Linked DNA regions of Lepisosteus oculatus. The protein of the gene in region 2 interacts with the protein of the main gene of each other region in a pairwise test. Links are inferred from orthologs where the notes say so. Each region holds a gene or a part of one and is shown on either strand. Other genes may lie near its edges. The genes, in order: shc1, igf1ra, ptpn11a and grb10b.

Evidence for each region.
Region 1: the proteins of igf1ra (region 2) and shc1 interact in a two-hybrid assay, tested with the Homo sapiens proteins (4 studies listed by BioGRID and IntAct). The link is inferred for Lepisosteus oculatus from reciprocal best matches to the Homo sapiens genes IGF1R and SHC1.
Region 3: the proteins of igf1ra (region 2) and ptpn11a interact in binary tests that used the Homo sapiens proteins (3 or more experiments, as listed by UniProt). The link is inferred for Lepisosteus oculatus from reciprocal best matches to the Homo sapiens genes IGF1R and PTPN11.
Region 4: the proteins of igf1ra (region 2) and grb10b interact in a two-hybrid assay, tested with the Homo sapiens proteins (4 studies listed by BioGRID and IntAct). The link is inferred for Lepisosteus oculatus from reciprocal best matches to the Homo sapiens genes IGF1R and GRB10.

Annotation. Positions count from the first base shown.
Region 1 is NC_090722.1:5,526,816-5,533,656, forward strand, and holds the start of shc1 (SHC-transforming protein 1), read left to right. Parts: upstream 1-3,821; 5' UTR 3,822-6,841. UniProt on the Homo sapiens protein: Signaling adapter that couples activated growth factor receptors to signaling pathways. Participates in a signaling cascade initiated by activated KIT and KITLG/SCF.
Region 2 is NC_090700.1:54,514,363-54,522,327, forward strand, and holds the start of igf1ra (insulin-like growth factor 1 receptor), read right to left. Parts: upstream 3,014-7,965; 5' UTR 1,886-3,013; coding exon 1,792-1,885; intron 1-1,791. UniProt on the Homo sapiens protein: Receptor tyrosine kinase which mediates actions of insulin-like growth factor 1 (IGF1). Binds IGF1 with high affinity and IGF2 and insulin (INS) with a lower affinity. The activated IGF1R is involved in cell growth and survival control.
Region 3 is NC_090717.1:11,295,400-11,302,881, reverse strand, and holds the start of ptpn11a (tyrosine-protein phosphatase non-receptor type 11), read left to right. Parts: upstream 1-4,482; 5' UTR 4,483-4,779; coding exon 4,780-4,793; intron 4,794-7,482. Other genes in the region: rpl6 (large ribosomal subunit protein eL6), read right to left, coding at 388-543. UniProt on the Homo sapiens protein: Acts downstream of various receptor and cytoplasmic protein tyrosine kinases to participate in the signal transduction from the cell surface to the nucleus. Positively regulates MAPK signal transduction pathway. Dephosphorylates GAB1, ARHGAP35 and EGFR.
Region 4 is NC_090705.1:43,180,245-43,188,210, forward strand, and holds the start of grb10b (growth factor receptor-bound protein 10), read right to left. Parts: upstream 3,006-7,966; 5' UTR 2,929-3,005; intron 2,561-2,928; exon of another isoform or gene 2,331-2,560; intron 1-2,330.

The DNA.
Region 1 (6,841 bases), on a different chromosome or scaffold from region 2:
TGTGACTTTCTCTTTAGTTTTCCTTGTGTTCTTCTGTGTACCTGTCGGTCTACGTGAGTCAACAGAGTAGAGTCTGATCTGCCCGTTTTCAGTGCTGGAAATTTTCAGCAGCCCCTGAACACACCTGCAGGCTCTGTTTGTCCCTCAGCCTCTCGCCTGTCCCAGTGAGAGATCTGTTTGTCCCTCAGCCTCTCGCCTGTCCCAGGGAGAGATATACCGTCCCTCAGCTTGTTCCTTTTTTTCTATTTTGGAGAAATCTGATCCCGGCCACAGGGATTGTGATGGCCCAGAGGTCACCTGTCCATCGCAGTTACCGTGGACAGCGGTGTCCAGTCCTGGTTCCTGGATGGGGCTGGTGCGTCTGTGGGCTCTTCTCGGTCCCTCTAACGCGGTATCGCCTGAGGCTGTTGAACTGGTCTCATTAGGCCAGCGAGGGGCTGATGGGGCTGGTTCAGAGCGGGGCTGGGAGAAGACCCTCCAGCACCGCGATGGGAGACGCCGGGTCTGCAGCGCTCGGCTTCTCCGTCTTGCTGGATTCGCGTGGCCGCCTCCCCCCCCCCCCCCCCCCGGACCCAGCCAGTCGCCGATCAACCGGGACGGGGCGCGGCGCGGTGTCCCGGTCTGACGGCGCTGTGGTTGTTTTTGGTGGCCGCAGGTCTCGGCTGCCAGGGCCTGGGGACGGCGCGGCCGGATGGACTATGTGGTAAGAGCTCTGGTGCACCTGGTGGAGGTCGGGCACGGGCTGAAGGTGGAGGGGTGCTGTCCGCTGTGGGGGTGGTGGAGCCCGTCGTCTCTCTGAGCTCTTCTGTCCCTCTGTTCACTTACGCCAGGGGTCTCGGGCTCGGCTCCTGGAGGGCTGGATCTCTGCTCCCGCCAGGGGGGGCCAGTTAGAGATCTGGGGTCGCAGCTGATCTCTCAAAACGTTCGCTTCCTTAAGGGCACAGTCACCTGTGGAGCGTCTCGGGACTAACAATTATTCGACTAATAGCTGGAACAGCAGCCAGGAGACCCTGGACCTCCAGGATCTGGGTTTGAGACCCGGCGATTACCCAGGGCCGTGCCGTGTTGAGACGGATGGCACAACCCAAAGCACAACGGGGAGCAGGCACCAACACAGCAGTGTATAGCTGTAGCCCAGGGCTCCTTCAAGTCCACTCCGGCTGGGTTTGTAGGTCCTCTTAGGTCGTCCACAGCTGCTGATTTCTTTAAGTGGGTGGGAGGGGGGAGCAGTTAAATGGGATGGATTAGGCCTTAAGAAGGCTCATTTAGACCACTCTGCGTGCTGGTGGTCAGTTGCTGTTGTCTTGTGGCCGACAGCCTGGCGTGGTGGTCTGAGGCTCTGGACACCTGGCCGTAGGGTCAAGTCGGCTGTCGTTCCCTCAAGCAAAGGTCCAGCACCCAGAAGTGGCTCTCGATTTATCTCTCTACAGACGTCATTGCCATTCTGTGTGAAAGCATCTGAAGAACGAGCCATCTTATTTTGAGGATTTAGGAGGCATTTTGGACTGTTGCCCTTAAGGAGTGAATTGGGGATTCCTTGGAGAGCTGTCTGTTGTCATGGGGTTACCGGCTCCAGAGACCTTGGAATGGCAGCCGTTAATTTAGTGAAATGTGGCCATAAGGGTATATTATATGTTGACAAGTGACAGGTTCCTCTTTCACATACAGGCCCGTGGATGACGTTGACTTCCACGTGGATGGGAATGAGCTTCATTAATTCGGTAGTCCAGTACTATTCAACCTGCGGCCCCTCCAGTCCGCTCCATCTCCATTTCACAGCTTAGCTGCTGCCAGCCCCTCGGTTATGCAGGATCGATATCGGAATGAAAGAGCCGGTTATGTCGAAGTCGTGGAGCGGAGCGAATTGGAGGGTTAGGTAGCCCTGGCCAAGTCGTTGTCGTTGTAGAAAAATGTCCTGTGTGGAAAATAATTGTTATTCATCTACTCCGATGGAAGCAAAGAGACCAGGCCCTCCAGGAACTGAGCCCTATTGTAAATGCTAGTTTGCAGAGAAAATTAATTCTCTTTTCTCTTGAACTAAACTTCTCCTGCACTACTTCATCTGCCTCAGGTGAGGGATTTTGTGAATCGGCAGTACTACGCACTCCTGTACTATGTTAGTATAGTCATTCCCAGCTCCTCGGTTTTTAGTTTGATTCCTTTGCGCACATTTATGCTTTATGTCCCTGGCTTCTCCGTAGAACATACCAAAGCAGTGTGTGCTTGTCTGCTCCTAACATTGCGTACTAACACTCCTGCTGCTGCTCCTACTGCACCTTGTACTAATCAGAACAGCAATCAGGGTGCGGAAAATGTGATTTGGAATATGTTCACCCCTTGAGAAATGCCTGATTGCAGCTGGTTTCCAAGCACTTCAGCAGCCGCTGAATGATTCAGAACTGAATCCAGCTTCTGAAAGGCTCCCTGTCCCGTGTGCGTCGCTGCGCAGGGCCTGACGTGGGCGAGCACGGATGCCTGAAAGTGTCGTGACCCCTCATTAACAAGGCAGGAAGTTCCTCCTCCCCACCCTGGCCCCCATAAATTGAGGGGTCTCCAAACCCCAGCAGGGCACCTTGAATCTTCTGTTTTTTTTTTTTTTTACAGCTTCTCAAGCTATAAAAACAGCTTTTTTATTTAGACTTCCCAAGTTATTCTTCAGTTAAGCAAGAAATGTGTTCAGCTAAGGAAGCTGGGTGTAAGGGTCTTCAAATTTGAGCTACAAAGGGTCCCTAGATCACTTAGCACAGCACCTGCTGAACTGATCGCCACTGAAACTCTCCGGGGCTGCAGAAGTGGGTGGCGTAGTTATTTATAAACCCTACTGGACGGGAGCTGTCCGTGGCCAGGGCTGGAGACCCCTGCTGCAGACGATCAGGACCCTGACCGGACAGACTCCCGATAGGAGTGCAAGCCGAGTTTCCGAGGATCATGTCCGTGGAGCAGCGAGGGGCAGAAACCCGTCAGGAAGGAGGACTTTGGACTCGGGAGAGAAGGAGGGGCGCTTGGTCTGTGTCTCGCTGGCACTCCCTGTCTAGGGCCAGCCCGTCGTCTGCCTGATTTCCTTTGCTCTCTGCCCCGCACTTCGCCCATTGCTGTATATACGATACCCCCCCCCTCTCTCTCAGTGCAGTGTTAATGTACTGGAGTGTCCAGTCAGTCAGTGTGTCTGTATGAACCCCTCTCTCTCAGTGCAGTGTTAATGTACTGGAGTGTCCAGTCAGTGTGTCTGTATGAACCCCTCTCTCAGTGCAGTGTTAATGTACTGGAGTGTCCAGTCAGTCAGTGTGTCAGTATGAACCCCTCTCTCTCAGTGCAGTGTTCATGTACTGGAGTGTCCAGTCAGTGTGTCTGTATGAACCCCTCTCTCAGTGCAGTGTTAATGTACTGGAGTGTCCAGTCAGTCAGTGTGTCAGTATGAACCCCTCTCTCTCAGTGCAGTGTTCATGTACTGGAGTGTCCAGTCAGTGTGTCTGTATTAACCCCTCTCTCTCTCAGTGCAGTGTTCATGTACTGGAGTGTCCAGTCAGTCAGTGTGTCTGTATGAACCCCTCTCTCTCTCAGTGCAGTGTTAATGTACTGGAGTGTCCAGTCAGTGTGTCTGTATGAACCCCTCTCTCTCAGTGCAGTGTTAATGTACTGGAGTGTCCAGTCAGTGTGTCTGTATGAACCCCTCTCTCTCTCAGTGCAGTGTTAATGTACTGGAGTGTCCAGTCAGTGTGTCTGTATGAACCCCTCTCTCTCAGTGCAGTGTTAATGTACTGGAGTGTCCAGTCAGTGTGTCTGTATGAACCCCTCTCTCTCAGTGCAGTGTTCATGTACTGGAGTGTCCAGTCAGTGTGTCTGTATGAACCCCTCTCTCTCAGTGCAGTGTTAATGTACTGGAGTGTCCAGTCAGTGTGTCTGTATTAACCCCTCTCTCTCAGTGCAGTGTTAATGTACTGGAGTGTCCAGTCAGTCAGTGTGTCTGTATGAACCCCTCTCTCTCAGTGCAGTGTTAATGTACTGGAGTGTCCAGTCAGTGTGTCTGTATGAACCCCTCTCTCTCAGTGCAGTGTTAATGTACTGGAGTGTCCAGTCAGTCAGTGTGTCTGTATGAACCCCTCTCTCTCAGTGCAGTGTTAATGTACTGGAGTGTCCAGTCAGTGTGTCTGTATGAACCCCTCTCTCTCAGTGCAGTGTTAATGTACTGGAGTGTCCAGTCAGTGTGTGTGTATTAACCCCTCTGTCTCAGTGCAGTGTTAATGTACTGGAGTGTCCAGTCAGTCAGTGTGTCTGTATTAACCCCTCTCTCACTCTCTGCCAGGCAGGAGTGGGCAGTCATTTTATGTGCATTAGACCCTCTCAGGGCTCTCGAACGGCTCGCTGTTAATGTAGGAAGTGCTGTGTGCAGCTGGTCAGCCAGTCAATGTCTGTTTATTACCCCTCCCATCTGGGACAGAGTGGAAGTGTAGTCAGGTTACAGGGGAGGAGTGGATGGCGATGGGGGTGGGGCGAGCTCGCTGTGTTTCCCTGTCTCTTTTCAAACACGTGCTCCCTCCCTCCCTCCTTCCTGTGTGTGTCTGTGCACGCCTGTGCTTTCAAGACGGGCAGCGGGGAGAGAGAGAGAGGGAGCGTCTGTGTCCCTGTGTGTGTGTGCGCGTGCCTCTCCGAGAGGACACGCCTCCAGGACGGCGAGGAGGAGACCGAGGGGGAGAGACCTGCTCCTCACCGGAGACAGAAGGACTCGTTTCTATAAGGAGCAGTTTCCATCTCCGTGCCCGGCTCGCGTTTGCTGTTTGCTCGTCTCCTTTTTTTTTCCCACCTCCGTTGACGGCTTTGTGCTCTGCCAGCATCGATCTGGCCGGCTGAGCCTGGCTGTGCTGAAGAGAAGAGGGGGTGGGGGTGCATTGGGGGGGGGGAGGCCCCAAAAACCAGGGAGCAGGGGGGAAAAACTGCATATAGACGCCCGGGGAAATCGAGGGCCCGGTGATGTAGCATCAAGAGCTGGAGCCGGGTGGAAAAGAGGAGGTGGAAGGTTTGTCCGGCTGCCCTGTTATCCGTTCTGACTTCAGGAAGAGGATAAAAGGAATAAAGGGGGAAGGAGTTCGGAAGTGCGGGAAAAGGAATCTTGCCTTGTGTCTCCTCCGCCTGTTTTTCCTCACGGCCGGCTTCCAGGAGGAAGCCCGCTTTGGAAGCAACTCCAGGAGTTTTCACGGGAGCTCACGTTTTCCTGGACGGAAGGGGAGGATACTGGGATTTGCTCCCTGTCCGCACCTGCCAGCGGACGAGAAGGAGAGAAGACGGAAGAAAGGGGAATAAAAGAAAAACCGTGGATTGCCAGTCGGAATTTGAAAGGAAAATTTAATCTGCAGCTAAACTGAGAATCTCCCATCTGCTTGAGCAGGCCAGGGGGTGAAAACTGTGAGAGAGCTGCACTCCATCAGCGTGCTGGGAATTTTGCAAAGTTTTTTTTGGTAGCAATGGTGTTGAAGGAGTTGTTGGATGTAGTATCCATAATGTTCATTGTGATTGAGCATTATGGATCCTTAATGTTGTGAATCTGTGATTGCTGTTCTACTAGCTGTTATTTCCCGATTAACATTACTGGGATTTGTGGGAATGGCTTCTCCTCTGCTCCTAGGGGTTTGAATCCCACTGTTTGTTTCGTGTCCGCAGCTGTCCTGTTCTGGAAAATCCGGAAGGAGCTGGTTTTTAATGGCACAGGCCCGGCCGCATATCCTGACAGTGATCAGCCGTGTCATTAATATTAATTAGCTGTAATGTTGCCTGTTGTAAAAAGGCGCAGCGGTGTGGAGCCCATGTCTGCCTATGGATCTGCCACTGTTGGCCTGGAAGTAGCCAGGTTGTGCTGACCGGCTCTAGGTGTTCCGGCTGTAACCTGACCCTCACGGTCGCAGTAGAGAGGCTGTAGGCCCCTCTCTCTCTCGCTGCGAATGCACGGGTAGGTTGTGCCGTTCCTAAAACGGGACCCCTCGAGAGCCGCTCCGGCGTGCTGGCGAGTTGGACTGCCGTCGGGTAGCCCTGTACGGTGCTGGATTGCATGGTGACGCCCCACGCGGGTCTCTCTGGAGAGTGACAGGGGCGCAGACCCACAAGGGCAAGAGCGTTCGACGGTACCATCCGCTGGCCAAGGAAAGCTGTCCGCGGTGACGGCATGGGGTTATATAGCGCCTTGCAGCGCTAAAGCACTTCCCTAACAAGCCAGCTCCCCTGTGAGCTGTCGAAATTTCTGTTTTCAGTAGTGTCCCTGCCCTGCGTTGGTCCTGCCCTCCTGATAACATTGAATTGCGGCTTGTTCCCCTCTCGTCTCGGATCTTGCAGTTCTCTGACTGGCGTTTGCTGGAAGGACCTTTTTTTCCTGCTCCAGGGGAGGTGAAAACATTTCTTGTGAACTCCGGTGTGTCGAAATGGCCATCGCTGACTCACAGTGAAGCCCACCTTCTTAGGCATTTGCGCTGAGTCATGGCAGGCTGTCGCTCATATCGGGATTGCTAGTGTCTGATCATATTCCCAGATGAGTCAATACCTCTCCTATTACTTCAGGTGGTTTGTTTTGTTTCTCCACACTCGCTACTGCAAGTCACACCAAAACTTTTCTGACAAAAGGCAAATTTCCAAACTGGGAACGTTCTCAACAGAGGGGAATGTGAGTTTCAGTACAGGGGAAGTTCATAAAAACTCCCTTCTTGGCACGAATCTGAGCTCCACCTGATAAAAAAAAAAATGCTGTGATAATACAGTTATAATAAAGAAAGTTCACGTACTCAGTCAAAGTTATTTTCTACAACTATTCTCTCTGTGTGCTCCTGAAACGTACAACATTAAATTTTCTGTGCATAGG
Region 2 (7,965 bases):
TCTCCCGTTCGCCACAGCCGTAACATCTGTCAGCGACTGTCAAAATACATCTATTAATTATTAAAATACATCTCAAGCGACGACGGTCGCCCTGGTGCGGGCGCACACGGGCGCTGGAACATGTGCAGAAGAAAAGTCGCACCACGCCACAGGATGTGCATTATAATAACAACAACAACAATCATCATAAAAAATAGTGCGAACACTGGAGCGCGGTAGTAATTTCGGCAGTGCTCGCACGCGCACACGGCGTGCCTCCGCGGGGCGCGTGCGGTCCGGATGCGCGCGGCCACATGGCCAGCCCGAGCACCTTCTCTCCTCGGGGACCGGAAGCCGTGTCCCCGCGCCGCCACGCGCCGCCCGGGGCCCCTCTTGCACCTGATGTCCGCGAGCGTCCTGTCCAGCACGAGGATACTCCCCCCACCACACACACACATATATATATATTCCACGCTGCACACCGCGCGCCCATCGAACCTCTGCCCTGTAGTTCGTGCAAACATGCGACTTTTTTAAATCAGCCTGCGAATAAAACTGGAAACCTTGCACACACGCCGAGCACCCCTCTGTGCGTTCATGCAAATAATCCCCCCCAAAAAAATTCTACTAAATCCTACAATATATATAATTGTCTAGCATTAAAATGTACAACCGAAAAAGCAAGCAACGAAACGTGTTATTTTTAAAACAATTTCAATGTTCAATGCCAGTCAGAAAATCAAATTAAGAACTTACGGCTGGTCTTCGCAAGAGTTCATGTCCTGTTACTATTTCTAAGAAGAAAATCAGTCAGAAATAACTTCAATTGTTTGCCCAGAAAATTGAAAATGATCTGGCATCTAACCGTGCAAGTAAAATGGTTTACTGGGCAGAAAAGCGCACATGTCGGGCTGGACGAGGCTGACCGGGGCTGTCATTCACACCTCCCGAAACGAGCGAAAAATCTGTCGCAAAACTTTCCATGTAAGAGCAAAATTACTAAGGGGACAAGATAAAATCAGAAAAGTGTAGCTGGTCGATTAACCCATCAAACGCCTGGTTAACTGACTAAAATTAAAACAAATACAACCTTGAAAATATATAATTACACACGAAATTAACTCGAAATGTCACTGGCATTTACTAAAAAAAAATAACATGCAGAATAAATTAGGACGGATTATTTTTTAAACTGAGAACATAAATATGAAAATGTAATCCCGGTAGTTGAAATCAGTCGTAATATACAAAACGCAACGGGTAGACCATTTTGCTAAAACACGGGTGCCTCGTTATGAAGATGTTAAATTGAGGTTATCTCCAAACGCTTGCTAAACATTTGTATATTCACTTTTAAGAATATCAACCGAATGACACTCTATACTGAACATAGACTGTAATTGTAAACAACGTTCACAGTATCCTTTAAAATAAGTTTTATTCTGTGAACTATTCAAACTGATTGAAGTCCAACTTGCACCTCACCTGTTCAAACTTCAACGCTTCACCTCGTATTAAATCATTACCAGTTGTTCCTTACTGTTGAACCCAGTGCTAACCTACATATTAAAATCTCCCTGAAGTGTCTAGCTAGCTAGTTATAAATGAAAAGGCGATAAAGAGAAGTTAACTTCGGGGTCAAACTTCACACTACGTTTTTTTTAAGTAAAAGCTAGCAAACAGCACGTAAACGAGCTAACCACAACAACAAGAAGACGCTTTCAAAAACGTTATACATTTTCCATTTACGATTAATGCATTAGACGAAAGAACGGGATTTTGTAACTGGAAAATAAAAACTTGTGTACTTACTTTCTCCATTAGCCGGCCATAGGGAGATCACGGAGATAGACAGCAACAGACCCCAAAACAAGGTCAAAATATCCCTTTCTGTCCCAGACCTCATTCCTCTTGAGAAAATTCCCCCCCCCAAAAAAAAATAAAAATAAAAAAGTGTTTCAAAATGCCCCGTCACAAACCAAAAAAACAACCCTAAAACAAGAAAACGCTTCTCAGTTTCCGAGAAGCAGGCTTTGAAGCAAATTCTCCTTATTGTTGACTCCTGGTAGGAAGAACGGGAGAATTAAAAAAAAAACTTAAATCCTTGCTTTTTTAAGGTGATCGCTCGTGTCCTGTGGTCTTTATTTATCTTCTCCAAACGAACTCACACACACACCAAAAAAAAATTGGAGATGGAAAAGGCTTTGTTAGGCTTGCCAACAATACAACGCATGAAAGATTGCTAACGAAACACGCGAGTCGCAGCTTTCGCTCGGCTGATAGTCCGCATCCTCAGCCTCCATTTCTTGAAAGACCACGGAGAGGGGAGACGCACACTTCGCTCGCTCGCCAGACAAAACAACAGAAAAATACAACAACAACAACAAGCAGAAGAAGAAGCAGCCGCGCTGTCTTGTCGTGCCCCTCCGGTTTATCTGTTTCTCCCCCCAATTACAATTTGCAAGATCCGCCAGACGCGGGGAAGACCCTCCCGAGGCCGGGCTCCGGGTTTCGGCGAGAAACGCAGGGGGGGACAAAATGAATGAAAATACAACTCCTTCTCTCGCCGAGTCTGTCTGTCTCTCTCTCCCTCCCCCTTTCTCCTCTCTCTCTCTCTACGGCTTGAGCTCCATCCAAAATATCCGTCAGGACAAAAATGGTTCACCAACTGTACCCCCTCCCCCTGTCCCTCTCCCTCTCTCCTTCCTTCTTTCTCTCTCGCCCGCTCCGTCTTTTCTGTGACTTGCGGTGGATGTATCTATCCCTTTCTCCCACGCTGAAAAGGAACAGAGATTGAAAAAGGTCTCCGTCGAAATTTGCAAATGCAGCGGCACGCCGTCGTATTGTTGTTGGGGTTTTTTTTCTTTCTTCTTCTTCTTCTCCTCCTTCCTTCTTTCTCTGAACCGGGGGAGAGAAAGCTGAAGGTGAAGCGGTCTACTTTCCCGTGGCTACGGTCTCACCCGTCTCCACTGTCTGTGTCTGCCTGCTGGAATCAGCGCTGTAAACAAGTCGCCTGCTCTCACACAGACACACACACATACGCTAACTAGAGCAGACGGGAAAAGCTGGCATGGAGTTTCCCCGTCTGGCCACTCCGCTCCACGCCGAAAGAAACTGGTTTTCCTTCGGATGTTGTTTTCCTCTGATCTTTTTTTTTCTTCTTTTTGGGTTTGCATCGACAGTATTTCTTTTATCTCGGCCCAGTCAAACGCGGAGTTATCAGAAAACCTCCGGGACAGATAAATCACGGAGTTAGCGTTGGTATTTGTCTACAGCCCCGTGGCTGTTTTCGCTGCCAACCAATTTTAAATGTAAATCGGGAAGAATGAATGGTGTTAACCAAGCATACTAAAAAGAGTTTTACCGCATTGTATGCAGTTGTGCAACGTGCTCAGGGGAGTGCAGTGACAGATACATACTGTACATGTGCTCACAGCACAACTAAATAGCTTTCTGATGCAGCAAAAAACAACACAATTTTATGATTATTACACACAGCCCAGAACGACCAAAGTTTTTACTTTTCACTTCCACTTTATTCAGGTTTTGATCACAAGCTCCCACATAAACCCAGACGTTTGATTTATGTGATTCATTGCACTTAAATAAACCAGTCATTATAACGAAATATTTTGGAAAAGAGTATGTTGCTATTACTCTTTGCACTCATGGAAAACACCTTTTTAAGTCATAGCAAAAGCATGCAAAGTTTTAAACAACAGTGTTACTCAATAGGAGATGTCAGTTTGAGCCAGACGTTAAACACAGATCGCCGGCTTTGCAGACAAGATGATTGGGGCATCACCAGTCTGCCTCGCACAAGGTAGCATCCAGCAAACTAGAGGCAATGAATATATCACACTGCCTGCGCAGCTGCCAGCGATAACGCTGTAAGGAATAAGAAAGAATAACCTGTCACCAGTCTATATGTTTCAAGGCTTGACTTCACCGCAGATTCTGCACCACACAGAGTGAATGGAGACCAGCAAGCCCGGTCCTGGCATGTGCTTCTTCCACCTGTCTCTCCACATGCTGACCGGTGCCTGACAGGAGAGCTGGTGCCCACTGAGGTCAAGAGGTAGCATTTCAATAACCTGATCAAGGGGGAGAGGTGGCGTGATTGGAATAGCAAACCTGTCCTTGTCTTCTGGGCATATCCATAGGAGTGGGCAAGGTTAGGGTTGGACCTGCTCCTGAGCTCTTGTTTTAAACTCCACTTACCTTGTGTACACAATGGTGTCACAGAATGATTTGCGGGAGATATGTTGTTTACAGGTTACATCACCCTAATGTAACTTTCCTTGGTAAAACATGTTTCGGTGTACAACTGATCACATGACCGTCTAGAGCCAGGTTTCTGCCTGGAGCAATAACGACCAGTCTCTGCCGTAACACTGCCCATTGAAGTGTCTTCTAGCGTCGGGACAGTTTTGACCCTCAGCAGCCCTCAGAGGCCTCAGAGCGATGGTCCTTGGTACCTCAAAAGTGGAGAAGCACTGGTTTAGATTACATCCATCATCGTATTTAATAACATCTTTATTTGATCCAGTTAACACTGTTCAACTGCATAATATTGCATGGACACAGCAAGAAGTATGACAAGCGAAAGAAGGAATTTGTAAAGAGTAACTCCTTCTGGAATAGCAAGAACAGAGCAGACCAGCTCTGAAGGGCTGCAATCCGGGAGGTATTACAGGTCCCCCTGAATCAGAAAGTTTTAAATCCTTGGAAGAATTTCATTTTGTCCAAGTAAGCAGGTGATTTATGCAATTACTGGAGGTAGTTTAGAGGTCATTTGAAAAGAAAATCCCCCAACCCTGCTGCTTTCAAGTACCACAGCTGGCACATTTGTGACTTGACCGAACAAATTAACTTACGAAATCGAAAACTCACGTCTGCTCCACGTCTTTACAAACTGCCGATGCAAGAGCCACCTACAATATAACACCTGTTGGACTGGCCACCTCTGGTCACCCCTGTCATAGCAGATGTTACAGGATGAAGGAGCTGAGCAGTGGAGATGGAGGATTGAACAGGACAGTATCTGTGCTCGACCAGATGACTGACAACCGTCCGTGTAACATTGTCATGTAACCAAACTGTGTCATTGTACAGTTTGTTGACCTCAATTGAAGCAGCCAATTCTCAGTCCTTCATGAGTAGAGGTGAAGCACAGCCTCCAAGCTTTCAGCGTAGCACAAACTGGACACGTGCAGGGTCAGTGGCAGTAGCTGTGTGGTTGTTGCTGAGCCGAGTGTTTTCTACGATGTCGAGCGCGTGCTCCTGAGTCAGCGCCCTCGCCCGGATCAGCCCTGGAGCAGCCACTTGACAATGAGCCGGCTCTCCCGGCACTCCGAGCATGTCTGCACTACGTCTTCGCCCCAAACAACAGAGTATTTCACACAGCACCTTTCAGTAATCACGTATAGCTTACTCCATTTCCATTCTTCACCAAGATGGCCAGCTCTTGCAATCATATATATACTAGTAAGCTTCTAAAGTTTTATATTTGGCTATACATGATATGTTTGTAAGTGTGAAAAAAATTCAAGGGTATTGCAATGTAATATTCAATGTAATGAATAATAAGAAATGACAGGTTAACTGACTTTGGTATGGGTAACAGAATCCTGCCTCAAACATAGGAAAGATTCTGAAGAAGCAATTTGGTTGCTAGTAGCTAATTGATGGAAGCATCTCACCCAGCTGTGTTGTGAAATACAGTGAGAGAAGTCCTCAGTGCCTTGATTCAGACTATAGGCACCTGATTTCGTTTGCCTGAACTGGTTGGTTGCACGCACTTTGTGCTTTTAGATGATATTCACTGGAGAAATGTAATACATAGTTTAGGTGTGATTGCCAGCACTATTACCATCCACCTGAACAATCAGTCCATCAGCAACTAAAACTCCAAATCCCCTTGCAACGGTCTGTGTGAAGAGAATTATTGCGATTCACATGTACTTGACGGATACACGTCAAATATCTAGATGAATATATGTGAAACAGTGCACACAATCATCAGACAAGCATGAAACAGTTAAAACAGGAGCATCAATGCGGAAACAATTATGTGTCAATTTCTATTATCATAATCACAGATTTGAATGGGAGGCTAAATACAGCTTAAGCTTTTGAATTAAAAGCTGAATATGACTCATGAGGTACCTGATGGTGATATCGGTGTTATTTACAGTTCTCTCTCTGCTGTCAGGGGGAATGAGAGTTTTGTTTGTGTAGATGAAGGGCACTTCTGCAGGGCTTATAACTCTTGCTCTTTTTATCTCCAACAGAATTTAGACATCACGTTTGCCTGGAGATTGTGCAGACCGCCAGCCCCCCAGACAGACAGATACAGTAGATGGTCAGACAAAAAAAGGGATTTTTACTGTAGTTCAAAATGATTTTTTAAAATGAAAGAGGTGGTAACAACCTATAAATGTGAGTTAAGAGTTTAACTTTAAATGCCAGTATTTTATCATACTATGCAAGAGTAAGTAGGAAGCAGACATTTTTGTTGCTTGCAGTTGTGTCCCACTGCACATTTTGTTTTTCATCTCAGCCTCCACTCACCATTGACATTTAGCACTGTTTGCGGTCCCTGTAAATGCTGACAAGAGGAATCATTTCAACAAACTTTAAAAAAGGTGATCCTATTATATGGACTCAAAAAGTCTGAATGCAGTCTCCAGTTGTGGACTGTAGTCTCCACTAAAATGCACCTTTGTAGCCAAAATTTATTTAGCACCTTTGGATGTCAGGAAACAAGGCATTCCACAGTGGGCTTACGTCCTTTCATCATTCAGCTTTCTTAGGCTTCTTTCATCCTCCTGATACTCTTGATTCTTCTTCAGCAGATTAAAGGCTTTTGTAAAGTTCAACATGGTTGTAATGTTAAACACTTAACTTTCAAAAACAGAGTGCAAAAAACATTTTATTATGAAAAGGGGACAATACATATTGGAGAACCTTCTTATTAGTCGCTGGTCCCCATCGCAAGAACATATCGAAGGCACAAACCAGAGGAGTCCATTTCGGCCATGTGCTAGCGAGTAGCTAATTGATCCCAGCATCCCATTCAGCTGTTTACTGAAACAAGCCAGGTTATCGGCTTTGGCAACATGGCTGGCAGGCCTGTTCCAGACTCCCACACCCCTCATGTCAGAACCATCCTGGAAAACAGCAGCTCACCCACTGGTGACATGGGGATGACAGAGAAGGCAGTGGCTCTGATATAGCAGGCAAATTCTAACTGGGGGGGGGGGTCGACAAAATTAAACACGCATATTCATGTGCAATTTCATGCAGAAATGTGCAGTAACATGTCATCCTTCCACAGCTGAAGTATTTTCTCTGCAGATCAGGACAGCTAGCCCTGATAAAGAACCACTACAACAATCCCTGTAATATTCTCTAATAACCATAATTACCTTTGGTAAGTAATGGTATACCACAGTTTACTCTGCAAAAGTCCTACAGAATTTACTTCCACTAAGTGCTGTAGGATTGGGCGATGATGATAACAGTTAAAGAACTCTACCATAGTAAACTCCAAAATAGTGCAGAAAGCCATGATCAACACCATTGCAAACTATAATAATAAAATAATAATAATAATAATAATTGCTTACACTTATATAGCGCTTATCATAATGGACATGGGCTTACTTTACTGCAATATTTGCAGTAGGACACTTGAGGCTTTCCCACAGTGGTATTTCACCTGAGAGGCATGCCTGAGGTAGGTAATTAATGAAAACTCTGAAGCTATTTTATGAGCATATGAATCAGGAACACCCTATCATATGAGAGGCTGTAGCCCAACAGAATACTTACTGTAGGTAACACCTCCTGCAGTACCCGCTCGCTGAACTCACCTAGCCTGCTCTAGAGGCACCATTCTGGTGAAGGTTTGGCAAACAAAATCTCTGTTGTCATGTTGGTTGGAATAGAAGCTCAATTATGGGGCAAAATCCAGCAAGCCAG
Region 3 (7,482 bases), on a different chromosome or scaffold from region 2:
GAAGGTTGCCGGTTCGTATCCTGCTGCCGGCAGAGGAATCCTACTCTGTTGGGCCCCTGAGGAAGGCCCTTAACCCCAGCTGCTCCAGGGGTGCTGTATAAATGGCTGACCCTACGCTCTGACCCCCAGCTTTTCTCCCTGTCTGTGTGTCTCATGGAGAGCAAGCTGAAAAGAAATTCCCAATACAAGAAATTGTATACGGCCAATAAAGCGATCTCATCTTTCTTGCATATTGCTTAATACCCCTGACATACTGTTGTTTAGGAACGATGTTGCTTATACACAGTTTGCATTATGGATGCATCACATGGTCAAGACTGCCACCAATGTCTCCCACAGTCTAAAGGCACAGGATGCACCCCGAGGGGCGAGTGGACGGGCGCTGACCTTGGTCTCCGTGGTCTTGGTCTTGCGCTTGTACAGGGCCCTCCTCTCGTACATGGCGCTGCGGGAGAACCTCCTCAGGCCCCGCGCCAGCAGCGGATTGCGGCACGTGTGGTGCAGCTTCTTCTTCGCCACCTTCTTCTTCTTGTCTTCTGCCATCTGACGGAAAGGGGGGGGGGGTTCAGATTCAATCCACTACAGCCACACTGCTACATGCATGAGCAAAACGGGTCTATTTTCTAACCCAGGGCAACAGTGCGACAGGTCCTGAGACACTCAAAGTACCGAAGGCAGGCTTGTCAATGAGTCGATTAGCTGGATGGCTAAGAGTAAGGTCAGAATGAAAACCTAGACAACGCCCCCCACCATTCAACGAGCCGGGTTCAAGCCATCCGCCAAAAACCACCCAGGCAGCAGGAGTGCGGCTTGGATTAGCCGTGTCCGCAACGCAACCGCATGAGCGCCAAGATACATCATCTCAAGGGTAAAACCTACTGCAATGCATTGTTTACTGTAAGAATTCTAGCTCTAGTTCAAAGCGAAAATGCTTTCAGGCTCCACGATAAAAAAAACCCGCCTCATGTCAGAACACCGGTCTAGTTCATCAGCGTCTCCAAATCGGTACGACGCTTGGTTTCAGCAGTTTGATCGAAACGAGGGCAGGAAAAATAAAACAAGTTATCACGCAAGCCTCTGAAAAACAATTCGCAAGGTACTCCTGATAACGATTTAGGAGCACTCACGAATCTGACGCAGGGAAGGCAGGCAGGCAGGCAGCCCGGGCGCAGGCCGCCGCCGCTACCAGAGACACACGGGAACCGGCCCGCTCCACGACGGCCTCCCCACTCGAGTCCGTGAGGAAACACTAACGGGATCACGCGGGTTTCCGAAAGTGTGGCGTTATTCTCACATTTCTAACCCGCTGATGAACGCGGGTCCGTGTGGGGTATTCGCTAGCTTGACACATGCAAAACACACACCAGCAGCCAGACCAAGACCCGTCCCCGGTAACCTGGATCCGGCTGTTTTACAGCAAATTAAACATAAAACAACCGCCTCCGAAACGTGTTCTAGACGATATGCTACTAATGTCTGCATCTACTTGTAACCCTGACAGTAACTCGTTCTAGTGGTTTAAGAATATTTCTGCACCGTGTCCCAAGTACTATAACGGCAGGCCTATACTTTCAGTACACAACAGCAAATTACACCATCAAAAACCTAACCAGACGACACCATTCCCAGAAAAGGTTATTCTTAAACATGTTAGCTTTCTGTGAAGTAAGGGATTTGGGGGCCCTTTTGAGTAACTTTAAAAGATTGTCACGGATTTTAATTCAGCAATTCAAGCACCGAGGAGCCATTCTTACCTTAGCTCACTAGAAAAGGATCGACATCCGGGTCATTCACGATTAAAAATGCGCCGTTGAATGACGTCACACGCACGGTAGGTCGCAAAGCTTGCTGGACATAGTAGTTTCCCATGGGTATGAAGCCAATTTTCTTTTTCACAAGATGTTTCAATTGTCCTACGAAATTACCTATATGTTTATTTCATATGAATCGATATTATAATGATACAAAATGTAGGATCCTCAAGAATTATTCCTTTGACTTTATTTTATTTATCATTTGAAATATCCAAAGCTCTTTCGAACAAAATTAATTATAATTATAATAATTGCTTACACTTTAATAGCGCTTTTCTGGACACTCGACTCAAAGCGCTTTACAGGTAATGGGGACACCCCTCCACCACCACAAATGTGCAGCATCCACCTGAATGCTGCACATTGAAGCCAATTCATTGATGGGGATTATTAGGAGGCCATAATTGGTAAGGGCCAATGGGAAATTTGGCCAGGATGCCGGGGTTACACACCCTGGGATTTTTAATGACCACAGAGAGTCAGGACCTCGGTTTTAAGTCTCATCCGAAGGACGACACCTGTTTACAGTATAGTGTCCCCGTCACTATACTGGGGCATTAGGACCCACATGGACTGCAAGACAATGAGATTAAAAAATAAACTGTGCAAAATGAGGTATTTAAACTAAGATAATTGGTTGACAATAACTCCATGAATTCGTTAAGAATTTGCCCAGGGCAAAAAGCAGGGGACACAGCAGTTCCCTGGGGCAGGAATGAGAGCCCCTTCTTCAGAGTGGGGTTCACACCCCTCTCCTGAAGGCTGTATTCCTGCAGATCTTCACTGCAACACAATGGTTCTAATTCAGCTAATTCACATTGATCTAATATTGTCTTAACTGGAGCCGCACAACAATCCCTGCCAGCATGTTGGGTGCTAGTGATTTAAAAAGATCCTTACAACCCACAGAAATGGGGATCCCTAACCTTGGAGCAACACTGTCTTCTGGATTCCTTATCACAGACTAAGTGATTTTAGTTTTCTATTAGGGGTATATCTGTAAATTTGCTTTCAGCTCCTAAAAGGTCAAATGGAATTTGTGATTGGTATCAACACTGTACCAGTCTCTGAAATTCAGAACTGTCCTCATTCAGGTCTGCATATAGCCAAATGGGTCTCTGCAGCAGGACAAAAATGCTGATTGTGGGAGTGTGTGACAGTGTCACCCCCACCTGTGTCTGCTCACCACCAGCTGATCAACTGGTACAAACAGTTCAGAGAAATTCTGTGCTGTGCTGTGCTGTGCTGTGCTGAAAAGCATGAGACTAATCAAGGAATCAAAGAGCCAGAATAAGGGAGGCAAATTTAGCATTAATGAAACCTTTATGCACAACCTTTTTGACATGTGAAATGTTTTTGCTGGATGTATTAAGTAAAGCCCTGAAATCTCAACAACCTTGCTGCAAGAGTGGAGTACAGTAAAAAGCCGCTGGAACTCTGGAGAACTGAGCCAAAAAAGTCTGTGTCTCACCTTGGCTTTCTGATGAGCTGTGGAATCAGCACTCAGGCATCAAGGCCAAGACATAATAAGAGAACTGGCAGAAGCTCAGCACAACCACCTTGTCTGGAACTACTATGGTTGGCATCCTCTGATATGCCAAAGGAGTACTGCTCATCGATTCCATGCAGCGCAGACCTATATAATCAATAGCCATTGTAATGCTGACAGGCTGGCATGACAGCCTAAAGCCATCTTCAAAAATATCTGCTGCTACTAGACGTTCCAGCAGTTCACAAGCCCAGAGCTGTACGGAACACAGTTCACCTGCGCTGTTGTTTAACATCTGAATCACTGATCAAACAGTCCGATCTTGGCCCTAAGCAACCATGAACAGCATGGATCTAGTGAAGGACAAAGAAGCGAAACAGTAGAAGAGGTTTAAATGTATTTCCTAACCCACGTATATACTGTATACCAGTTACCACATTGCAATATGTTTTTAGACTGATTACACCCTCATTATCATTCATAAATTAAAAGGTGGCAGCTCAGAATAGTCAAAATGGATTACTCTGAGTTGTTTAACAAATCCATATCATATTGTAATAATTGATGTCCTGACTCATTTTTAGTAATAGAGTCCTTTTATGTGTATTGTATTTTTTTTACTGATCATAACTTTGGGGTATTGTGTATATGAGAAATGTTTGGGTCCAACACCACTTGGTAGTTGTGGATGTGTGCAGCAATAAAATAAGATCTGGAAAAAGAAAGAATTTGACCATATCTTGCCAGCATTGTATGATCTGTACACATCAGGGCAACATAATAAGGCAACAATAAAATGACAGTAGGTCTAAATGGGTCAAAGAAAAAGCATTATAAAGTATTTTTCAAAATACAATTACAATTTTATATAGTATTTACATAAATTATATTTACCTTAACCGCTGACATGAGTTTTATTTTATTTCAAACATTATTTCTAACTTGATTGTATAAACACATATGCTTCCAGTTCAATACAGACATTTTAAGTTCTGCAGTTTTCACTGATTGGTAATATTAGTTTATTTGTTCGATGAAAAAAAATGAATTTTATCTTACAAATTTTAATTAAATACCTGCAATTAATTATTTAATTAGATATTTTGGACGATAAATAATCTCTACTTGTTCTTGCCATAATCCAAAATGGCGAATGTAGCCTCAGAGCATGTCCCGCCCCCACAGTGCGTCTGTGTCTTGTCTAGTGACGTCTTATCTCCGAGTCCTGCCGTAGGCAGAGTCTTGCTGGTGAGGCCTAGGGGTTTTCATTTGGTATTTTGTAATAAATTTTGATCCGTGCCATCACCAGCCCGACCGTTTGTCTCTGAACCCGGGCTGAGCCAGGTTCATGGCCTGTTGGGCGCTGGTCTGACTTCTCCGTGGGGGAAAAAAATAAAACGGCTAGATTGCGCGACTGAAAATAACGAGGAAATCAAATTGAGGAACCAGCACTTGAAGAAGTAACGAAAAAAAAAGATGACATCTCGGAGGTAGGTTGTAAAAACTCTGCTTCAGCGAATGTCTGGCTTCCAAAATGTATTTTGGTAACGGTGCCTTGATCATTTTTGCCTCCTATACTATTGTCTCGTTTTCTTTTAATGTGATGACCGTCTTTCAAACAAAAAGATTAAGTCATTGACGGTCTGTATCTTCGGAAGAAATTCCAGATATGACTTGTTTTGTCAGAATTATACATCGGGATCAGCATTTTTTTCAGCACACTCGATAGCATGCACTTCTGTCCTTTTGATTAAAAAGTAAAAATATTGTTTGCACGGCAAGGTTGTGCATATGAATCGTTTATGAACGTCGTACTAGTTGAAATGAGCGTTTTCTAAGAACACCAGGCTCTGTTTTGAAAAGATTTCTAAATTTGATTTAAACCCGGAGAGAAAGTTCTATACAACAGCCGCGCTTTAAAGACCTGACGTGTCGAAATTAAATTGTTTTACGTTGTGCTCCGAAAACGAACAATTTTAGCTCATGTTCTGAAGACCGAGAATGAAAACAAACCGTTTTTCACTACTTTTCTTTAGTTTATGTAATTTCCATAATTAATGTAACCTGGGATCTGCCTTTCCCAAGAAGACGGTTTTATTTTTATTTTTCCAATCTTTTAATGCACACTTGTTATTCACGGGCTGTCGTGTAGTATAGGGGTTTTCATCATTGCCCGTACCGTCCCGAGCCCCCAGAGACCCGTGTGAGCAATCCGAGTTGCACTAATCGGGCCAATCATTTAATCAATCCATTAAACTGTCCCATTAGAAATACCCCCAGCCCCCTTAGAGGAGCAGTGCTGGCCAAGAGCACAAAAAATGCAGTCCACTGGTGTGCTGTGTGTAAAACTCTTCTGCCCCTGAACAAGCCTCCTCATTTCCACATTTCGGCGTGGAATTAACTTTTGTTCGGTTAATTGCTTTTCTCTGCCAGGCATCAAAATAGTTTTCTGCACAGTTATATTGGAAAATGCTTTATATCATCATAGAAAGCACATCTCAAGTTCAGTCTGCGTGGTCTTCTTGTGGCTCTATAAATGTCCAGGGTTACTTGATGCGTTTGATGCTAACTGTAAAATTAAGTCTCATTTTGAGACGCGGTAACTTCTGATCTTCAGTTCCTAAAGGCAATTTCATTTTCACTACTTAAGCAGGAAATCTTCCAGTAAGCAATCTAGTATTCTTGAGTTACACTGTCAAAAGGCCTGATCCATTGTACCCTAATGTTTTTTTTGGTGGCTTGTATTTTAATAATCCAGGAATCGCATGTAGTCCCTTCTTGGAGACTTTTGAGTCAAAACATCAACAACCGGAGTTTCAGCATCTTGCAGAGATCTAGATAATCTTTCCAATTCCTAAGTGCTCTATTCAATACAGGGTTGTGGGAAGGATATACCAGGACCCAAGTCCATTTGGGTATACTCACACGAGGGCCAGTTAACCTATCGGTATGTCTTTGGGCTCTAGATGGAAACAGGAGCACCCTGAAGAAACCCACAAGAGCACAAGGAGAACATACAATGTAATGAAAATAGCTAAGACAGATTTTGGATTTGATTTGATTGCTAAATTGAAAATAGGCCCTATCTTAGATACAGACATAGAGATCTAATATATAGCCTTGTAGGTATTACAGTTGCTTTCCTGGTCCTGGCACTGGTGCTACAACCCTATCAGTTGAAAGACAAAAATACTAGTTTCATTTTTCTAACAAGTAAACTGCTTGCCACTTGAAAAGTGTAATTTGATGAAACTCCACGAACAGTGAAAACGTTCTGTGAACAATGTGCACATTTCTGCAGAATGAGTTCTGCTGCTGCTTAGGTCTGACATTAATGGTCAGTTTGAAATTAATGGCAGGAAATGAGGCTTTTTTTAACTAAAGTACAAGCTCTTTAATGTGGGGTTTGTTTAACCTGTTGCGGAGGGATTCTATGGTATCAAGTGGAGTTTGTGCTCTAGTATCTATCACACTCGCGTAGTTGTTAACACAGAAGAATGCAGAGGAGCAGCGCGTGCTGTGTTGTCAGGCAAAGTCATGTCGTTCTTTCGTTCATTCATGTCTCAGTTTGTGCTAAGTGTGGGTTTCACGGTGTGAAAAGATGATAGTATAAGTGTGGACATCAGTGCTGTGTGAGAGGGGAAGAACTGTGCCGACTGTTCAGTTAGGCTGCAGTTCCTGCTTGGTGTAAAGAAGTGTGCGTTCTAACTGCGTGTGAATCGAGCTCTTCTGTATTCTTCACATCAGGCTGCAGTGTTGTGGTTCAATGAGTCTTTCCCATTAAGATGTATTTAACCAAAATGATGTTTTTAAAAGGTAGAGCAAATGAAAGTAGTAAGAATTGTCAGATGTTATGCGAAATAGTAAATCATCTTCGTGTAGTTGTACATGACACTCAAAGCATTTTAATCTTTTTTTTTTTGTTTACCACGGTACTTTGGTTTTCTTGGGGGGCAGGCAGGAGATGTTTGCTGCTGCTGTTGGTTAGGAATTTTCAGTTGGACTATATATAATCAGACTAGGCACAAGGTACAGTATAGGCAAAAGTAAGCCAATGTTCTTCTGTAGTTGGGCAGTGCTTCACATCTGGGGGACTCCAATCCTGTCTTTGGACATGCAGATGTAAGATTGCGGGTTCGGATACCAGGTGGGGATCCGCTGTCGCACTTCTGAGCCAAG
Region 4 (7,966 bases), on a different chromosome or scaffold from region 2:
AAAGGCATTTCATTCTGGATGGAGGAGAGGAAATGTTTCTTTACTTTGCGAGTCTTTGGAACAGGCTTCCCAGCCAGGTGGTTGAAGGCCAAACTCTGGGCACTCTTAATAAAAACAGCTGGAGGAAATTTTATTTTCACTTAGCAACTAGAACTACCCAACGAGCACAGTGGAACAAACAGCCTCCCCCAGCCTTAATGCTCTAATTGCTCGTAGGTGCTGCCAATCCGTGGAATGGGGAGACAAAAGGTGACCTACACGAGAGACTGGAATGGGGTTCTCCAGATCCCTGTTGGAGGGACCCTGCAGTACATCAACCCACCATCTACAGAAGGCACTAAAAACAAAACTATATTGTGCACATTTTTTCCTGAATCTACTAAAAGGAAAGAACATTCAGATTCTACAAATAGGCTTCTGTGCAGATTCCCGAGACGTAGGTAAGGCTTCATGCCTGGAGTGACAGACCTGGTATGTAAAGGGAACTCTTGTAACAACCAGAACCCATTTGTCCGTCTTTGTCCACACATCACCCTATACTGACTCTTTCGATACAGATGCCATAACGCAATTCCTAAAAAGGACCAATCCAAAACAGAAGGGCCATCCAAAGGATCAGGATACAAAAATTAGCTAGATCACCACTTCACAAAGCCTATAAAAGCACAAAATATCCTCTTCATGGGAAACACACATTTAAAGCCTTATTATCTGCTGCTCAAGTGTGAAATGATGACATTTGAAGTATAGCACCCTTAGCAAACCCCTTTATCTTTCAGGACTGCGTCTGAAGGGTTTAGGTATTAGCCCCAAGTTACCTCATACACTGTACAGTAGTTTCACATTTGTGGTTCTAACTGCAACTTCTTTCAAACAAACACCACTAGATAAACAATTAGGACCATTCCCAACCCCAAAACACAATCGCTAATATTTCAATGTTTAAACCTGTTTATTTTAACTTTGTTCTAGCACTGCCCAAAATAACATCGATTGCACCTTAAGAAGTGCTGGAATATAATGCATAGTTAAATTGAAATCGTGTGAACCTTTACCAATTGAGCATTTAGTAAAACCAATATTTTACTAAATACGGAAATCAATATAATTATAAAGTCTAAAAGGAACAAAATGGCAGCATTAAAGTGAATGCAGTCTGTGTAGCCTGCATTATGCGCGCTTTAACTTCAGAATCCAGTTATTATCCAAGACCTCGTTGGTATTTACACAGGAGTGTAATACAGTCTTGTGTAAACTGAAACCGACAGTCTCTATGCCTTTGTCCACTTCTGCAGTGCCAGCTGCGAGATGTGTCAGAACACGCTTTGCTTTAAAAAATCTTAACGGTGGATGTTTTTCACTACATTAACATAATGCCCTCGGTGGGGATGAGGTCGATGTTGCAACTACAGTCGTGATTACCGCTGTACTACTGCAGAGTGCACGTAGAATTCTGCTGATTCAGCAACGCCAAAGTAAACATCACTTTTCGCCAAATAATACAAGTGCCTTATAGGAAATGTAAAAGCGGAATTATTTACTCCTTCGACGATACAAATTAAGTTTATTTTGTAAATGTTTCAAATACGCCTTTGAATGCGCAAAGCTATAGAACGTAGCGCAGTAACAAAACGCAATCCATGTGTTAAAAGACTTTGGCTTGCCCGTTTCAATAATGCAAAGCTCTGAAAAGCGTCTTACCCCACCCCCAAACTCAACGCTAAACGAAGATCTGCTTAAAAGTTACCGAACCACTCCAAAAATATTGTATTTAAAGTCTTGAACCAAACTTGGTATTAAACTCGACTGGGGATTCGTTTAAACGCCACACTTACTACGTGCTATATATTGTCGCACGCCGATTTTTCTTTCCGCAAAGGGATTTGAAATGTGTATATAAACCCGCTTGACGCGACCATGGCTTCCAAGTCTCCAAAACAGCGCGGACAAATCTTGGATTCTTTAGCTTTCTCAATTCGACGTTAACATTTGCAACCCAACTCATCCAGAAGCTCGATTTAACAACTCAGACCACTTGGTGCAAATCCTGATTTTCTGTGCCACACCGCAAAAGCGAGGACACTCCTGCTTTAAACTTAGGCTGGAAACTGTCGCGACTGACATTAATACAGTGTTGGGGGGGACAGCTGACTTCTCCCTTTACCGAGTAGCGACCGGAGCAGCTCGCACCCCAGCGCACCCACCCACCCAGCCTCGCATCTCCGGGCACTCAGCTCTTCACAAACTTTGTTCGCTACACAGCGGGGGAGTCGCTGCAGCGCACCGGAGCAACAAAAATACCACAAGCTGCTTAATCTCAAGAGACCTACCTTCAAGCCAGAGCCCTCCCAAAGAAAATAACGGCTGCGAGCCAGGGAAGGGTCGACTTTTAACGCAACTTCAGCCGCAGAGCTCACCAACGCGAAGTCGCTGCTCAGCGGAGCTCTCCTCTCTCGGTCTCCCCAGCGCACAACATCCCCCGTCCAAAACGGGCAGTTTTTCACGGGCTGCAGGCTCAGCTGACTCCCCCAGCACACGCGAGAAAACCCCACCCACCTGCCCCGCAGACACCTCCCCCTCCTCCACGCACAGCCGCCGGCGAAGCGCAGGCACCACCTTCGGGGGGGACTCGGGCTGCTTAACCCGTTAACCGTGCGCAACCGATCTGCGCACCGGGCGCCCCAAACCGTGTACCCCCACCCTCCCCGCTGCTTCTCGCCTTCCTGTTGGTCTTCCCGGCCCTTCACTGCGATGACTCGGGATACAGAAATCTTCCTCCTCCCCAGAGTGTGGAAAATAAAGTGCGTCTTTTGTGTTTTCTATTCTGTAGAAGACCTACACTTTTTTTGAAAAAAAAAAATACTTCTGCCCCGGCATCTTTGCGCAGACAAGTTAAATCTATACCCCGCCTACTAAAGGGGTACACACCCGTGCTTTTAACTGCCTAGGTACCCTCCCGGCTCCTGACGAATCCATACAGCAACATGGGAAAGGATCGTGAAAGACAGGAGCTCTTTAAATGTGTACTGTTTTTTTTTTCAGTCAGGTATTGCAACACCATCCCGGACTCCTTGCGTTGACGTAATTTATGAGCCGCTCACTCCCACACTTTCAGGGGTAGAGGCATCCACGTGATATTTATCCCTTGTATCGTCCATTTGTTGAAAAGCTAAGGAAGGTGCTTTAGAAATCATAAAACTGTTTTGTTATATTCTACTACATCGAATTGCATGGAAAAAAACATGCTGTTTCTGATTGCAATAATTTGCCCCGTTACACCAAATATTTCCTCCAAAGTTAATTCACACACATATACAGTACATATACTTTGCATTTGACTCTAGAGAAGCCCTTTCGTCTAAGGCGGTTTTAAAACCTTACTTTAAACGGTTGCACCTGAAATAAGCCACTCATACAAAAATAATAAAAAGATACGGCACTGTTTATGTGTTTGCCTTAGCTGCACCCAAATGTACTCAAATATACCTCTGTTATGTACAGTAACAGCTAGAACAAGCAGCAGATTTAAAGTGCAGGTGTAAACGACTAAATAATCAAAATGTGCTAAAATTTATGAAAACCTACTGAATACTGCATATCAGTAGCATAAATGTAAAAATAATACCTTTCTACATATACAATGTTCAAATCTATTCATATCATAGCCAGGGAATATGTTGAACTGCTGTAAATGCAGTCCTCTGTTATTGTAGTCTTCTGTCAGGTTCACAAAGCCTTGCAAAGTTTACACAAGTTCCTGGAAGACTTCTTGATTGCCTCTGTTTATTAGTGAGAGTTACAAAACTTCAGTTACAAAAAAACATCTGGAAGACATCTCAGTTTCAGCTGTGGTGTCTATCTCCAAGATGTTCAAGCCTAATGGCAGCTTCCTCACAAGGAACAGGACATGAGAAAGTGCTGCCCAAATGTACAGTACCTTCAGAGATGGTATTTGGAAATATAACTCCCTCCAAAGGCCAGCAAATGGGAATCTTCAAAATACTCTGGAAACTCTTCAAGACTTCCATTCGGGGCTGACCTCATGAATTCGTTGTCTGCGGTTGAGTTCCATGGTAACATGGTTCCATGGAACAAAAAGGAAAGAAATGAATTTGCCAAGCAGCAAACGTGTGAATTGGAAATGAAGTGACTGCACAGAACAGTTTTTGGACAGTCCCACCAGGAGTATGATTAGCAGAGAAAAGTGAAACCCATGTTGAGAAAGAATCATTCCCCTGTGGTGAACCAAATTGATTTTTCTTCTTAGCTTTAGGGTTGTTTGAGTCCTGGAGTTCTAGCTGACAAAGATGAATAGACAGACAGTAAACTCTACCAGCATATATTGTATGAGCCAAATACTAGTGCCTACTATTAGCTCATGCTTGGTCATCAAATAGGGTTCCATCAGAAAAATAAATAAATAAGGGGAGATTTTAGGACTGAGGAGGCCATTTTGCATTCTACAGTAGGTGTAGGAAAGTACCGGAAATTCAGTCTTTAATAAATCCATCCATCTATTTACCAGAATGAACACCTTTCTAGGAGTCAAGAGCAGTTAGCTTTACGTACAGGAAAAAGAATTAGAAGTCACTGAACAATTCCAATTCTGCTGCAGTGTTGTTATTGGACAAACAGTTACTTCATACACATACCTGCAATTCACTGCATTTATTTCTCACGTTAACAGGTGCTCAAGACCAAAAAGGATGTATACAGAAATAGTGTTGCAACTATGTGATAACAACAAAAAAAACAAACAATTACCTGCAGGAATGTAAAACCCTAACAAAGCACAATTCCTCTCAATCAGCCTGGAGAAATCAGACATATTTATAAACGTAAGAAAATGTAAGCAGGTTAATTGAATGCAGATCATAAGAGGTACTGTTTAAACTGAGATTTATAGCCAGTTATGCATTTCATCTTTGTAAACCAACAGCAAGAGCAGGTACTTTTTTTCCTAAAGTGGTAATCTGTAATTTTCTTCTTTTCCAATAGAGAGATTTCATTATTAAGAATTATTAACTCTACAAACTGTCATGCTTTGATCATTCATTTTCTTTGTTTGGTCGTAGTTTTCCATGGTTTATCTTTATGTTTCACCGTGGTTTTACTGCGGTTTTAACACACTTTAGTTTGGTTTTACCACGGTATACAGTAAAATCTGATTGGTTGAATGTGACCAATGGAATTATTTCTATAGATGTGTTTACATTTACCTTTTTGATATAGTTTTTTTTCAATTACAGTATATATGAAATTGTTTTTCACATCTGGTCGCCTTTCATCCCTGCATGTGAGAAATTAGAAACTAGTCGGAGGAATAATGCAAAAACAACCAGAGATCTGTGTATCTGGCCAACATGGGAAGAACCAATCATGGCTCATGATTCTTCAGTGTAGAAGGTTAATTGCCTGAAACTTTTCCCAGCTGAGCAGAAAGTGGCACTGCCATATGGGCTCATATTTATAGGAAATCTTCTGCACATGGTTATAGGGTATTATACATTTTTTCGTACATACTTTATACGAGTATGATGATTTACCAGATTAGTTATAATCTCTGTACAGTATATAAACAGTACCTAAGTGTGCATTTGGCATATACATAGATAGATAACACATGCTGTTTACTTTCTGAAAATGAAAGTTATAGATAATATCCTGACTGACCCAAAAGACCCCTTGCATGTCATAAAAAGAAAGTCAACCTTCAGCATAATCAAAATACATTCTAAGAATATATATAATTTCATATTTCTTTTTGATCATTAGAATGAGATGCAGAGAGAGGTGGCCTTGTGAGAACGCCACCATCTTGGTTCAGATCTCAGGCCCTGTGTTGTGGCCTTGAGCCAAGATGGCCACCTGTTACTTCTGGAGAAACTGCAGAACAAGGCATACCATTTGATATGTTAATGTGTTAATTTCCTCTTTGTATACTCCCTCCTCTGATTAATTTGAGTAAAATTGTGCCTGGTGTGAGATGAATACAGTATGTGAGCTTTTTGCAACCTAACCACAAGAAAAAAGGGCTAACCTTCATCAGTCCTCTCATTAGAATACAGCATCCATCCTAATACAGACTGTAGACTGTAAATTCACGCACAGCCTGATGTGTGCCAGACAGGGCTAATTTATGTTAGTCCGTATTCATCTGAGCATGTCCAGAGATTACAGCTCACAGGAGCAAGCCTTCATAATGATTTTTCAGCACTGCAGGTGCTCCACGGGCCCTCAGTGAGCACATTCAATGGTGGAGCTGATTGGGGTCCATCTGTAAGAAAGTTTAAAGCATGAGAAAAACCTGTTGATGACCCGGGACATCAATGGCAGTTTTAATTCTTGATTTTTAATTGTTTTATTGACTTTCATAGAGAGATTTTGCTTTGTTGCATCCTTTTTTTATATTCACTACTTTGCACGTTGTTAAAATTCATGTGTGCTGTACTGTCCCTTGTAATAAAGATATGATTTTATGCATTATCTCTTTCAGCAGCATTCCCTTCACTTCACTCACCATCATTGTCAGTGAGCAATAAAATATATAGAGCTCTGAAACATACAGATATATGCATAAATGTTTGGCAGTGAGGGTGGTAATTCAGTCTATAGTCTATTTTCTACAAAATATTGAGTTCATTTTAAGCGTTTTATATGTCAAAGGATATATTGAAAATTTGCTATGTTTTATGTGTTAACTAAACTCACAGTGGCATGTCTTTAGTCCTACATGGAGGATTATTTTTTAGTTTTGAAATTGTGAAATGTCTAGCCCCTGATATTACAAATGAAGTATGTATGGTACAAGTATGTAGACAATGCTAAACGAAAAAAGTAAAATGAAAATTATAAAGGGACATTATGTGCTTGTGTGCAGTGGTGTGTGCCAACTCTTTGTCATTCACATTGTGGTGCTGCTCACCGGTATTTAAAAGGCTGAGTGCAATATCAAAGCTGGGATCAATTACTGAATTTCTCCATCAATGTCCCACTCCACCCTGTAGGCCTGAGACTGAAAAATGACAGGCTAGAGATGGCCTTTCCTGAGGAGATACTGTACAGTATGTGAGCAGAGAAGGAGGGACACAGCTAATCACAATATTGAAAGTGATCATTGTGGTGGAGATCCAGAGCAATTAAAACACCCTAATGCTTTAGTGAAAAAGATTTCTATTATTTTCATACTGACATGAACAAAGCGTTTTTTCTTATTTTGTTATCATGACTGTGACAGGTACTGTATATATAATAGTCTAATGCAGAGAGCCTTCAGGCCTCAAAGAAAAATATTTATTTTTCTAAAACCTTTCTTTCAATTACAAGTTACTTGGCCAGTACTGGGGAAGAGTCCATTTTAATGGCTGTAGCCAGTTTTCAGCAGTTTGACCAGTGATGATTCATCAGTGACAGTCAAGCCTCAATCTGTAATCAGGAAGCTACCAGGAAGTGGCCTATAACTAATGATAATGATAGCAGCACTGTCGGGAAATGTCTGTGTCACTATTTGTATCAACAGTGATGATCAATATTTTTTTTTAAAAAGCTGGTTTAAAGCATAAGCAAAAAATGACTTTTGAAATGTAACAGCAAAACAACATTTTAGTGCACATCCACTTGGCAGCAGGCTATGATAGCAATGAATTGCATTACAAATTTGATACTGCAATGTATCCAATTAACTCAAGATGGATCCACAAAGACACAATTGGACATAGGTGCCTGCATTAACCCCTTAAACCTGGTTTAAAAACTTGCACAAAAATGAATCTCTTGACAAAAAAACAGAAAAGGGGTTAAATAAGTGTTGACTGTGCCAGGAAACTTTAAATAAATGAATACTGCATTGGCTAATGAGAAATATAAATAATACTGATCAAGAAAATGACTGTGTGTATATATAGCCAATTTCACCTCCTTCATGTGGTATAACTCAAACCTACGTTCAGCGATAAAATGTCTGCAT